Linked DNA regions of Rattus norvegicus. The protein of the gene in region 3 purifies or fractionates together with the protein of the main gene of each other region. This does not show direct contact. Links are inferred from orthologs where the notes say so. Each region holds a gene or a part of one and is shown on either strand. Other genes may lie near its edges.

Region 1 (3,652 bases), on a different chromosome or scaffold from region 3:
AGCCTGGGCTATGTGAGACCTCCTCTCTCTCTCTCTCTCTCTCTCTCTCTCTCTCTCTCTCCATACACACACACACACACACACACACACACACACACACACACGCACACACTTTTTGTTTGTTTGAAACAGGGTCTTCAGGTTGGCCTTAAACCATCATGCCCCTGCCTCAGCCTCTTGAGTGCTGCTGAGAGAGTTTTCAGGAAGTCCTTGAAGTAAATCTTTACTTGTATTTAGCAGAACAGTGAGGGGCTCATCCTTCTCTTGCAGCTGGAAGGGGCCTGTGCACATCAGCCGCCCTCAGACCTGTTTTGTTTGGAGAAGATGCCTCCTCTGGCTGCCTTTTGGAAGTTGGGATTAAGGAGAACTGTACACAACTCAGGTGAGTCTCTCGTTGGTTTGGTTTGTGGGAGACAAGGTCTCCCAGAGCCAAGAAGATCCTCAACTCTTGAGTCCTCCTGTCTCCACCTCCCCAAAGCTGGCTCCTGTGAGATTCACTGGTGAATTTTCTTCCATTTTTGAGTGGTCTCCCTAAAATTAATTTTCTGTGTGAATGTTAAAGACAAGACTGAAAAGTTATGGTGAATGGCGTGGACGTGATAGCTAGTGATAGTTAGTGGACACACGCAGTGGATGTGATAGATGGTGGACATGCGGTGGACATCATAGTAAGTGGTGGATACACACACATTTGTTTTTAACATTTATTTATGAAATGATTATTGCGTGCATGTGTGCAGTGTAAGAACAGAGGCACATGTATGCCGTGTGTGTGTGTGTGTGTGTGTGTGTGTGTGTGTGTGTGTGTGTGTCTTACCCTGTTTTAAGTTGGTGTAAAATTCCCATGATGTAATTAATCATTCAGAAGTAGTGACTCAGGCAGACAGAGTAGCACACACCACCGTCCCAGCACTCTAGAGGCTGAGGCAGGGTTGCTGTGCTACTTAGGGTCATCTTGGGCTGCAGATAACACCTTGTCTCAACATAAAATCAAAAGGTCTGTCGGGATGACTCGGCAGGGAAAGGCATGTGTTGCCAAGCCTGATGACCTGAGTTCAAGACCATGACTCATGTGGTAAAAGAAAACTGGCTCGGGGGCTGGAGAGATGGCTCAGCAGTTAAGAGCACCGACTGCTCTTTCAGAGGTCCTGAGTTCAATTCCCAGCAACTACATGGTGGCTCACAACCATCTGTAATGGGATCCGATGTCCTCTTCTGGTGTGTCTGAGGACAGCGACAGTGTACTCATATACATAAAATAAATAAATCTTTAAAAAAAGAAAGGAAGGAAAACTGACTCACTCAAGTTGACCTTTGACCTCCCCAAGTATGCCATGGCACAGGCATACATGCACACACACACAAATGGCTTAAAAGGCTTAAGACAAGAAAAGGTGAACTGTCCAGTGTCATTGAGGCCGTTCACGGTGTTATGAAAGGCTTTATCTAGTTCTAAAACATTTTCATCACCCAAGGTGGAAATCTGTATGTGTAAGTAGTTACTCCCCCAGCTCTCCTCTCCACAGCCCTGCTTTCTGCCTCTGTGGCTTTGCCTGCTCTGGACATTCAAATGGGGTCACACCTATGTCACAGCGTGTGCCAGAACTCCATCCTTTTCCATGGTGACTCTTCGCCTGCCTCTGCGTGTCTGTTTATATCACACCTTGTTCATCCGCCTCGGTTGATGGACGTCCGGGTTCCCCATCGTTTGGCTGTGTGTACTGCCACACGCAGGCCGGTGCAGGTTTCAGTGTGAATGTGCTTCCTGTTCTTTTCAGTCTGTGCCCCTGGGAATCAAAGTGCCAGGTCATCTGGTAATTCCCTTTTCTGTCTGCAGAACCCACTTTAGTACCATGGTGGCACCTTTTGCCATCCTCAGCAGAGTGGGACGGACGGCTCCAGGTTTTCCACAGCCTCCCAAGAGTTGTTTTTTTTTTTTTTTCTTTTTTTTACATTTATCTTTATTTCGTGGGAGGTTGGGTGAACATAAATGTGCTTCACACGCGGAGGTCAGAGGACAACTCTTGGGAGCCAGCGCTCTCTCTGGCCACGTCGTATGGTCTAGAAATCCAGCTCAGGTTGTTAGGCCTGCATAAGAACTCCTCCATCCGCTGAGCCACCTCACTGGCCCCTCCCAGCCTACTTCCCCCCTTAAGATTCATTCATTTTATGGTGTGAGCGTCTTACCTGCAGGTATGCATCTCTGTGCAGCCTGTGCAGACAGTGCTTGCAAAGGTCAGAAGAGGTTATCAGATGCCCTCGAACTGGAGTCCCAGATGGGCGTGAGCTGTCAAGTGGGTGCCAGGAATTGAACTCTAGCCATGAGGGCTGGGTGAGACGGCAGCCATTGTTGGCACCGGGCAAGGAGCAAGCGTGCATTTAAAAATGACACACTACGGGGTTGGGGATTTAGCTCAGTGGTAGAGCACTTGCCTAGCAAGCGCAAGGCCCTGGGTTCGGTCCCCAGCTCAGAAAAAAAGAAAAAAAAAGGGAGGGGGTTGGGGATTTGGCTCAGTGCAAGCGCAAGGCCCTGGGTTCGGTACCCAGCTCCGAAAAAAAGAAAAAAAAAAAATGACACACTACGAACCCAAATCTGGAAGAGCAGCAAGCATTCCTTTTATTTGTTTTGTTTGTTTGTTTGTTTGTTGTTTTTCCATGACAGAGTTTTTCTGTGTAGCCCTGACCATCCTGGAACTTGATCTGTAGACCAGGCTGGCCCCAAACTCATACACCTCCTCCTTCCTCTGCCTCCCAAGTGCAAGGATTATAGGCCTGAGCCACCACGTCAGGCTACCAGTAAGTATTCTTAACTCCTGAGCCATCTCTCCAGCGTACACCCACACACATGCATCCTGTTTTTACCGGCAGTCGCTCCAGCAGATTTCTATCTGGGCTCCCAGCAAAGACAGGTGGCCACTCTTGGAAAAGGACTTAAGGACCAAGCCCGCTGGCCACCGGCTGAGAAGTGTTATCTTCCTTCTTTGCAGGGAGAATGTCCTTCAGAGACTAGATTTGCTGATCCAGGCAACGCACGTTGCGAGGAGAGGCAACTCGGACTACGGTGATCTGAGCGATGGCTGGCTGGAGGTCATACGTGAGTCACCCTGGCCATGCGTAGGGGTCACTGATGTTGAGCATTTTGCCCAGGGCTCTCTGTAGGCAGGAATCTTTCTTTCCCCAGCTCTCATGGCTCCTGCTCGAAGAGGAAACTATCTCGAGCTTCCTCTTGCTGACAGTCCCAGCTTGAAGACGTACGGGTCACGTCAGTTTGCACTTCTATTTTGAGCACCCAAGAATATCGGCATCGAGAGTTAACCCGTAGTTTATAGAGAGTGAAAACGTGGTGCTGAGTGAAAGGGGCCCAGACACAGACCACCCAAAACTTCCACTCCATTTGTGTGCAAGGCCCAGAATGGACAGATGTGCACGGAAAGCAGAGTCATGAGTGCTAAGAACCAGGGAGGCACTCTTGGGACCTGGAGAGTTCTATACGGGAAAATTTGAAAGTAAATCTGGGGCTGAGATGTGGTTCCGCCTAGTGTCTAGAGTGTGGAGAGCTGTGGGTTTGAACCCTAGCACCAACTTCCTAAATCCTAAAACAGTCAAAAAAAAAAAAAAATCAGGAGGTGTCCTGAGAGAGTGGGGATGATCA
Region 2 (3,652 bases), on a different chromosome or scaffold from region 3:
TGTTCCATTGAGCTTTGGGTGTATTTGTTCATCGGTGTCAGTCCTGATTCACGTTGTGTGTGTGTGTGTGTGTGTGTGTGTGTGTGTGTGTGTGTGTGTGTATGTGTGAATGTATGTATATATATATAGTAAGTCTTGAAGTCAGATTAACTTCTTCCAAAATAGTTCTAGCAATTTTAGCTTCTTAGTAATTAGTAGTACCTTTATTGTTTATGTATAAATAAACTATTAAGATATACTGATCAATAGAGCTGGGCATGTAGCTTGTTGGGAGGTGCTTGTCTAGCCTTCACAAAGCCCTGGTCTCAGTCCTTAGCACCACACAAACTGGGTGAAATGTCACATGCTTGTAATCCCAGCGTTTGGGAAGTAGAATGGGTCATTGTCATTGTGGTGAAGATCTGGGTGGCACGCAGGCAGGCATGTTGCTAGAGAAGTAGCTGAGAGATTTAATTCCTGATCTTCAGGTAGCAGGCAGAGAGAGACAGACACTGGGCCTAGGGTAGACTTTTGAAACCTAAAAGCCCACCCCAACAACTCATGGCTTCCAACAAGGACACACTTCCTAATCCTTCCAAACATTCTGTAAGTCAAAGCTCCTAACACCTGAGCTCTTACACTTCTGTCTGTCCTGGACTTGGTCCTGTGTTTACGCACGTTTCGGCAGTCAGGCTAGCGTTCCTTACTTCCGTTCAGCGCTTCATTTGGACAGCTGTCTTGCCTGTCATCTTTGCTGCTGTATGTGGTGGACAACAGTGATGGAGCCCCTATTTTCAGTCAGTGTCACTACGTCCTTTCTACTCCTATTCACCATTAAATTTTAGAAGTGCTGAGGGAAAACATAAACTGGAAAGTCAGAAGTCCTACTTGACTTTTCCTACAGTATTTTCTGATACTAAGCATAGGATACTGATGTGTTTGTGCAAAGGACAGTGCTTCTGAGAATTGAGCCTGAAGTTTTCATGTCTAACTCTTGAGTGTGGGAGGAGTGCACATGCATGTGCAGAAATGTTTGGGCACAATGCACAGGGGAAGCAATATACTGCATGTACATGTAACCTTCGTCACTTATCAGGGTGTGACTAATTGTCTTTTGCTTGTAACTTCCTGTATCCCAGGTATTTAGAAGCAGAATAGAATTTGTATCATAATCTTTTTGGCTTGGCATTTTTACCTTTAACTGTTATGTACTTAAAAAACTTCATACCTACATTACTTTTACAGCCCGTACAAATAAACCCTCTTGATGTATGAGTACACTTTCATAAGAGCTTACCTCAGTCTGACTTACTGGCTAGATCTAACCATCAGTGTTCTAGAACCTAGATGAGAGAAATGAGTTACATAATAGAGAGATAGAGTCAGCACATCACAGGATATAGGATAGGAGCTCCAGAGTGTGGCAGGAAAAACAATTAGAAAAATTCAACAGTATGACCATATATTACAAATATTGAAAACCACATTACCCAAATAACAGCAGACATTTTTGAGAGCTGTTTAAAACAAACAAACCTGTCTTGAAATGACCAAGAAAATGGGGTAGTTGGGGTAGTTTGATTGCTGACAACATAGGGATACTGTGAAGAAAAGTTCAGATAACTAAGCTGACTAATGGCTGTAGTTAGACTTTTCAAAAAGTCTTCGCCTCTTAAGAGATACAGACTGATCCTTCATGCATTAAAAAGCCAGGAGTCTTTGGAACGTGGTGTGGGATTGGCCCACGTTGTGTTTGGTTGAGACCTGGTGTTGTGTAGTTGGTAGTTCGTTACCCACAGTTTCCGTCATTTGTGCATTTGAAAATTTATGAGGAAAGGGTTTTTAAGTCAGAGACCTATTTTAATAATTTGTAATTTACTTCTCATTGCTATTACCAGATTCCTATCAGATTATTTCTAGTATTAGTTTTCTTTATTAGAAACCTCAAGTTGTGAGTATTTACTCTGTTCTGTCATTTATTCAAGGTGATGAGCATGGTGTCAGGATTTGCACCCCTGATCTCTGCGGGTATCTTTTCAGCCACACTCTCATCAGCACTGGCATCTCTTGTGAGTGCTCCCAAAATATTTCAGGTAAATATTTTCATATTATTGTTATTGAAGATGTTAAAATAATATTTCAAATTCAGATAAATTACCTTATCAATCTCATGTGTTTGTTTGCATATACATATATCAAGATTGGTGTAAATTTTATTTACATAAATGCTGTGTAGATCCCTAAAAACATTTGTGCATTTTCCTACTGTCAAGGTACAGCCTTGAAATGTCTTTAGGAAGGATGATTGGAGGGTCTGGAGAGATGGCTCAGCAGTACAGGTTCACACAGAGAATCCAGATTCAGTTTCCAGTATGTGCACTGGGTGTACATAATCAGCTGTAACTCCAGACACATAGATAATTGAAAATGATAAAATAAATATTTTAGGGATTAAAAATATTTTAGGGATTAGGTGGGTTTTGTTTTTGGCATACTTAGCATTAAAGTTTAGGATGGTTGTCAAGTTAGGAGTGCAGCGTAAGACTCTAAATCAGAACTGTAAATAGTGGTTTCAGTTAACATGATGCCAACTTGACTATCTTATGTGGCTCATAGTGCAGCGACTGTAGTAGAGGCCGTGATAGCTAGGATGAGTGTTGCTTCCTATGGTGGTCATTAAGCATCTGACAGTGATAAGTGTTGACTTTCTAGCCTTGCTCTTAATACTGTATTTGTAGCAAGAAGTATAGCAGTGTTGTCTAATAGGACTTTTAAGACAATATCTGTTAGGATTGGGAGAAAAGTAGTTCAACTTTATACTTCGGGTTTTTAATCATTTTCATTTCAGATTTGGAGTTGGTTTTCTTAAAGCCTTAGGTACACTGTATCATAATGCCAACTTTTAGGGTTTTTCATTGTACTTTGTTTGAATGACTGCTTCTCCGATTCTTCATAAATAGAGTTTTAACATGGGATGGAGCAAGACAAACAAAATCTTTAGCAGTGTTAGGAACCATCTAGCCTTCAGCTGTCTGAACTGTTCACTTGTCCTTTATAGTCTGTCGGTGCAGCACCGAGAGACAGGAAACATAGTATCGGAAAGGAGAGACTTGGACTTCATTCTTGGTTAACATACTTTAACTGTTTGCAGATTTGCACATCGTAAGTTTTATGTGTTTTGTTTTAATGTTTGTATTTTTTTTCCCTTGGGTTAGGCTCTATGTAAGGACAATATCTACCCAGCTTTCCAGATGTTTGCGAAAGGTTATGGAAAAAATAATGAACCTCTTCGTGGTTACATCTTAACATTCTTAATTGCACTTGGATTCATCTTAATTGGTTAGTTCTATGAATGGTATATTATGTAGGTTTTGGTATGTTTTGATATAGTGTTATCTGTAATCATGAATATTAAGTTATTAATGTATATTAATTAGTTTCTAATCAAAGTAAAATATTGCAAATAGTAGTACCTGATATTACTTATTAAACTTAATTCCATTGTGCAAAATTAGGGTAAAAGGAATATTATATTCTTTCTTTTTTTGTCCCTATTCTTTCTTTCCTGCCTCCCCCCCACCCCTTTTTTTTAAGATTCACGTAGCCCAGCCTGGCTATTGCAGCCATAGATAATCTTGAATTCCTGATGGTCCTGCCTCTATTTTGTAAGGAC
Region 3 (3,652 bases):
ATCCTTAAGTCACCTGGGACACGGAACACAGCAATATCTTTTCATATTTAAATTCCTGAAAATGGTAATCTTTAAACCACACCGGGTGTCATTTCTTCTGTTTTGTTCAAAGATATGAGCCCCACACAGAAACTGTCAAGTTGTATTTTAAGTAAAACTTGACACTTTAGGGGAAACAAATAAATAAATGCTTTTTAAAATTCTTTTTGCTAAATTCCATAACAGAATTGACATTTTCCAGCCTTTATTTCTGTATCATTGAAATCACCTTAAGTTCTTCAAGTGGGTGAGGGCCAAGCCCCATGCCAAATGCTGCTCACAAAGGATGTCAGTGGGGCAGGCAGAGAGCTTAAGAAGCAGTTTGGGGCTTTCCTACTTGAGAGGGTGGGCTTGGAGCACCCTCGTGTGGACAGCTTGGGAAATACAGCACAGGATTGGTTTGCTAGTTACATATAAATCAGTCCCCGCCCCTCTTTCTGAACCGAGTGTAGACCAATTGGGTTCAAGCTGGCAGGTTGTATCTTGTTTTTCATTTCGTCCATGAAATTGCTTGGGAAGCGTTTATAACTCTACCATTCATTAAATGACCAGCATTGTGCAGTTTCTTTGTTTTTGTTACTTCACTTAACAAAACTGTTTTTGTTTTTGTTTTTGTTTTTTCTTTTACTGTTTTTCGCATTAGTCACATGGATTTCCCTCATGTGACTCATCAATTCATCTGACACCTGGGCATCTGCTCGATTATCCTAGCAATATTATTTCTGTAAGACACGACCTAAAACAGAACAAAGTTGCTGGAGACTTGTCGTATGTGGTAAATCTATGAGAGACTCATAGCTGTCACACTAGACAGTAACATTTCCCTTTCTCACAGCCATTTCGGTGTGAAAACCCAATTACTGAGTGAAAATCTGAAACCTCTTTGCTAGAGAAATTCAATAAACCAAAACTATCGAGCACAGTTCAGATGGAGTTGAGTTAAAATGAAAATTAGCGTTGGGTTCTGAATCTCCAAGGTTATTATTAGGCTCTGAGAGACGGGATATAGCTAGGTTTATACAGAACACGGAGGCCAGGGATTGGCTCAGCAGTAGAGTGTTTGCTTAGCTTGTGCAAGGCCCTGAGTTTGACACCGGGCCACGGAGACTGTAGGAGAATTACTGCATCAGAATTCAAGGTTTCCTGTTGCGTTTTAGTTAAAAATCTCTTTATCCCCCATGTTAACACTTTGCTGAGAAAATCATGGAGATGAGATGGCTGGTTTCCTCCAGTAATTATTTCTAAATATTTTAACCTCATAACTTGACTTGTGGATTAGATGAGCATTTCTGCTCTCCGTATTCTTCATTGAGTGAGTGTGGTGGTAATGTAAAATTATTCTGCTTAGGGCGGAGAGTAATTCGTTACACTCTAAGTTATACTTTACACTAAGCAATGAGTAATGTTTACTTTATCAGCAGTGTGGTTCTTTCCCCCCATTTAGATATGAAGTAAATTTTCAAGATGGTATTGACTGTGGAGGCGCCTACGTTAAGCTGCTAGCAGACACTGGTGACTTGATTCTGGTATGACATTTTACTATCTAAGAACACCTTGTTAGAGTCAGTAAGTATTCTAAGGACTGGTTGACAACTGAAAATCCCATTTTCATTGTCTTTTTCTCAGTCTGAGTTTACATGGCCTTTACAGTCTGCTGTCCAGATCCATTCACAGTCGCACTGTGTGATGGAGACATTGGTTCTGTGCTCTTTGGTAACAATAACTGTGCTCTATCTGGGGGTAGAAGTCACGGGTGCTTAGAGATGCTCAAATGACAGCACAAAGCCCACATTAAAAGCCGCTGCTTCCTATGTTGCCAACGCCCAGAAAAGCCCAAAGCAACTTGGGAGAGTTTGGGGACATTTCTTACAGCATTCCACAGTGGGAGGGAGCTCTGTGTTTTGGTTACGATGGCTTCGCTGTGGGCCAGCTCCAAGGCACACAGCAGAACCTGCCTTCTGCACTGGTGGCCGTAGGATCAGGTAAAAGAGGCTGTTTGTAGGATGTAGTGAAGCTCATTTTAGATCTTGGAAGTCTTAGCGGCGGAGTGGCAAAAACAGAGTTGGCTCGAATTCCTTTACGTACTTAGTTGGAGCCAGCATGTCCTCAGAGGCCTTCTAAGGTGGGAACTGTCATCTCCACACTTGAGGCATCATGGGAATGGATCCAGGGGGCTCGGAAGCTCGCTCAGCCACACGAGTGTAGGAACCGCAGTGTATCGAGGACAGCAGAGCCACACTCCGGAGCAGGGTGAAGTCTGGAGCGCCCCTCTGTGTCCGCGCACCTTTGTGTGTTTTTAACTACAGTCTTCCTGAGTAATGACAACGAGGAATCATTTTAGTCTAAGGTCACGAATGCGCCTGCTTCCCCCAGGGACTGCTCATACCTGTGTGCATAAAGCAGTTGCAGTTTTTCTGAGCTCTTACACGCATCCTTAGGAAGGGAGTAGCGTGCGCTTTTCTAAAGTTTTCATTTTGCCATGTCCTTTGTTGTCGTTTGTGTTATTTGGTAAGTTGGCATTTAATATAGTCTGTAAATTCTGCCCACTGGACAGAACAGAGAAAGTCAAAGGCCGCCATGACTCTGGACTAATTGGGAGCATCCTCTCTCTCTGAAGGAAAACTTTTATGATAAAACATCGTATACCATCATGTTTGGACCAGATAAATGTGGAGAAGACTATAAGCTTCATTTAATCTTCAGACACAAACATCCCAAAACCGGAGTTTTTGAAGAAAAGCACGCCAAACCTCCAGATGTGGATCTGAAAGAGTTCTTTACGGACCGGAAGACTCACCTGTATACCCTCGGTACCCATTCATTCATTCATTCATTCATTCATTCATTCAAACGTTCTCGTTTCCATGGAGACGCTGAGGGCCTGTGCTTTCCGGAGAAAGTAAATGTGTCTACCTTTAAGAAGTTTATCTTTGGGGGAAGATAGGTTGTGTCACATAAATGGGGGTGGGAGTGTCAGAAGAGGAGACTGCAGAATGGGAGTTTCTTAGCAGTGCCTCTTCCCTGACCGTGGCCCCTGGGTGGGGTTTTTGTATGAAAATGTACATTTGTAGGAAAATCCACTTTTAAGAGTGGAACTCTCAGGCGGGTCTGAAACAGTGTACATTCTTTGTGATAACACTTGCAAACCTCTGAAGTCTGAGGGGTTTGTCTCACTATGAGGAAGACGGGGCTGTATGCTGTAGCTGTGAAGAGGGACACTTTGGGACCGTGAGTCCCCACCAGGGCCACCTAGCTGTTGGGTAATTTTACCTGTTGAGATAATGGGATTTTTCATTGTTGAAAAAATTGAGTTTAAAATAAATCTTATCTTTATTTTAGAAAATACTGTAGCAAGTGATTTCAGCGAGTTTTGATTCAATACATTGGTTTTTCCTGGTTAGGAGAAAAAAAACTGCCCATAAACTTGGTCATTTTATTATTTTGAAGATTCTATTCCATATGTCGGATACTAATCCTCAAGTGTTTAAATTGTTCTGTAGTGATGAATCCGGATGACACGTTTGAAATATTAATCGATCAGAAAGTTGTGAACCAAGGGACCTTGCTAGAGGACGTGGTCCCACCTATCAATCCACCCAGAGAAATTGATGAC

What was found.
Region 1: the proteins of Clgn (region 3) and Tctn2 purify together in Homo sapiens (affinity purification with mass spectrometry; 3 studies listed by BioGRID and IntAct, with this or other methods). This does not show direct contact. The link is inferred for Rattus norvegicus from reciprocal best matches to the Homo sapiens genes CLGN and TCTN2.
Region 2: the proteins of Clgn (region 3) and Slc12a2 purify together in Homo sapiens (co-immunoprecipitation; 3 studies listed by BioGRID and IntAct, with this or other methods). This does not show direct contact. The link is inferred for Rattus norvegicus from reciprocal best matches to the Homo sapiens genes CLGN and SLC12A2.

The regions. Positions count from the first base shown.
Region 1 is NC_086030.1:37,647,421-37,651,072, reverse strand, and holds part of Tctn2 (tectonic-2 precursor), read left to right. Parts: intron 1-270; coding exon 271-382; intron 383-2,987; coding exon 2,988-3,094; intron 3,095-3,652.
Region 2 is NC_086036.1:53,573,754-53,577,405, forward strand, and holds part of Slc12a2 (solute carrier family 12 member 2), read left to right. Parts: intron 1-1,964; coding exon 1,965-2,072; intron 2,073-3,194; coding exon 3,195-3,318; intron 3,319-3,652. UniProt on the Homo sapiens protein: Cation-chloride cotransporter which mediates the electroneutral transport of chloride, potassium and/or sodium ions across the membrane. Plays a vital role in the regulation of ionic balance and cell volume.
Region 3 is NC_086037.1:41,612,644-41,616,295, reverse strand, and holds part of Clgn (calmegin precursor), read left to right. Parts: intron 1-1,483; coding exon 1,484-1,565; intron 1,566-2,656; coding exon 2,657-2,849; intron 2,850-3,539; coding exon 3,540-3,652. UniProt on the Homo sapiens protein: Functions during spermatogenesis as a chaperone for a range of client proteins that are important for sperm adhesion onto the egg zona pellucida and for subsequent penetration of the zona pellucida.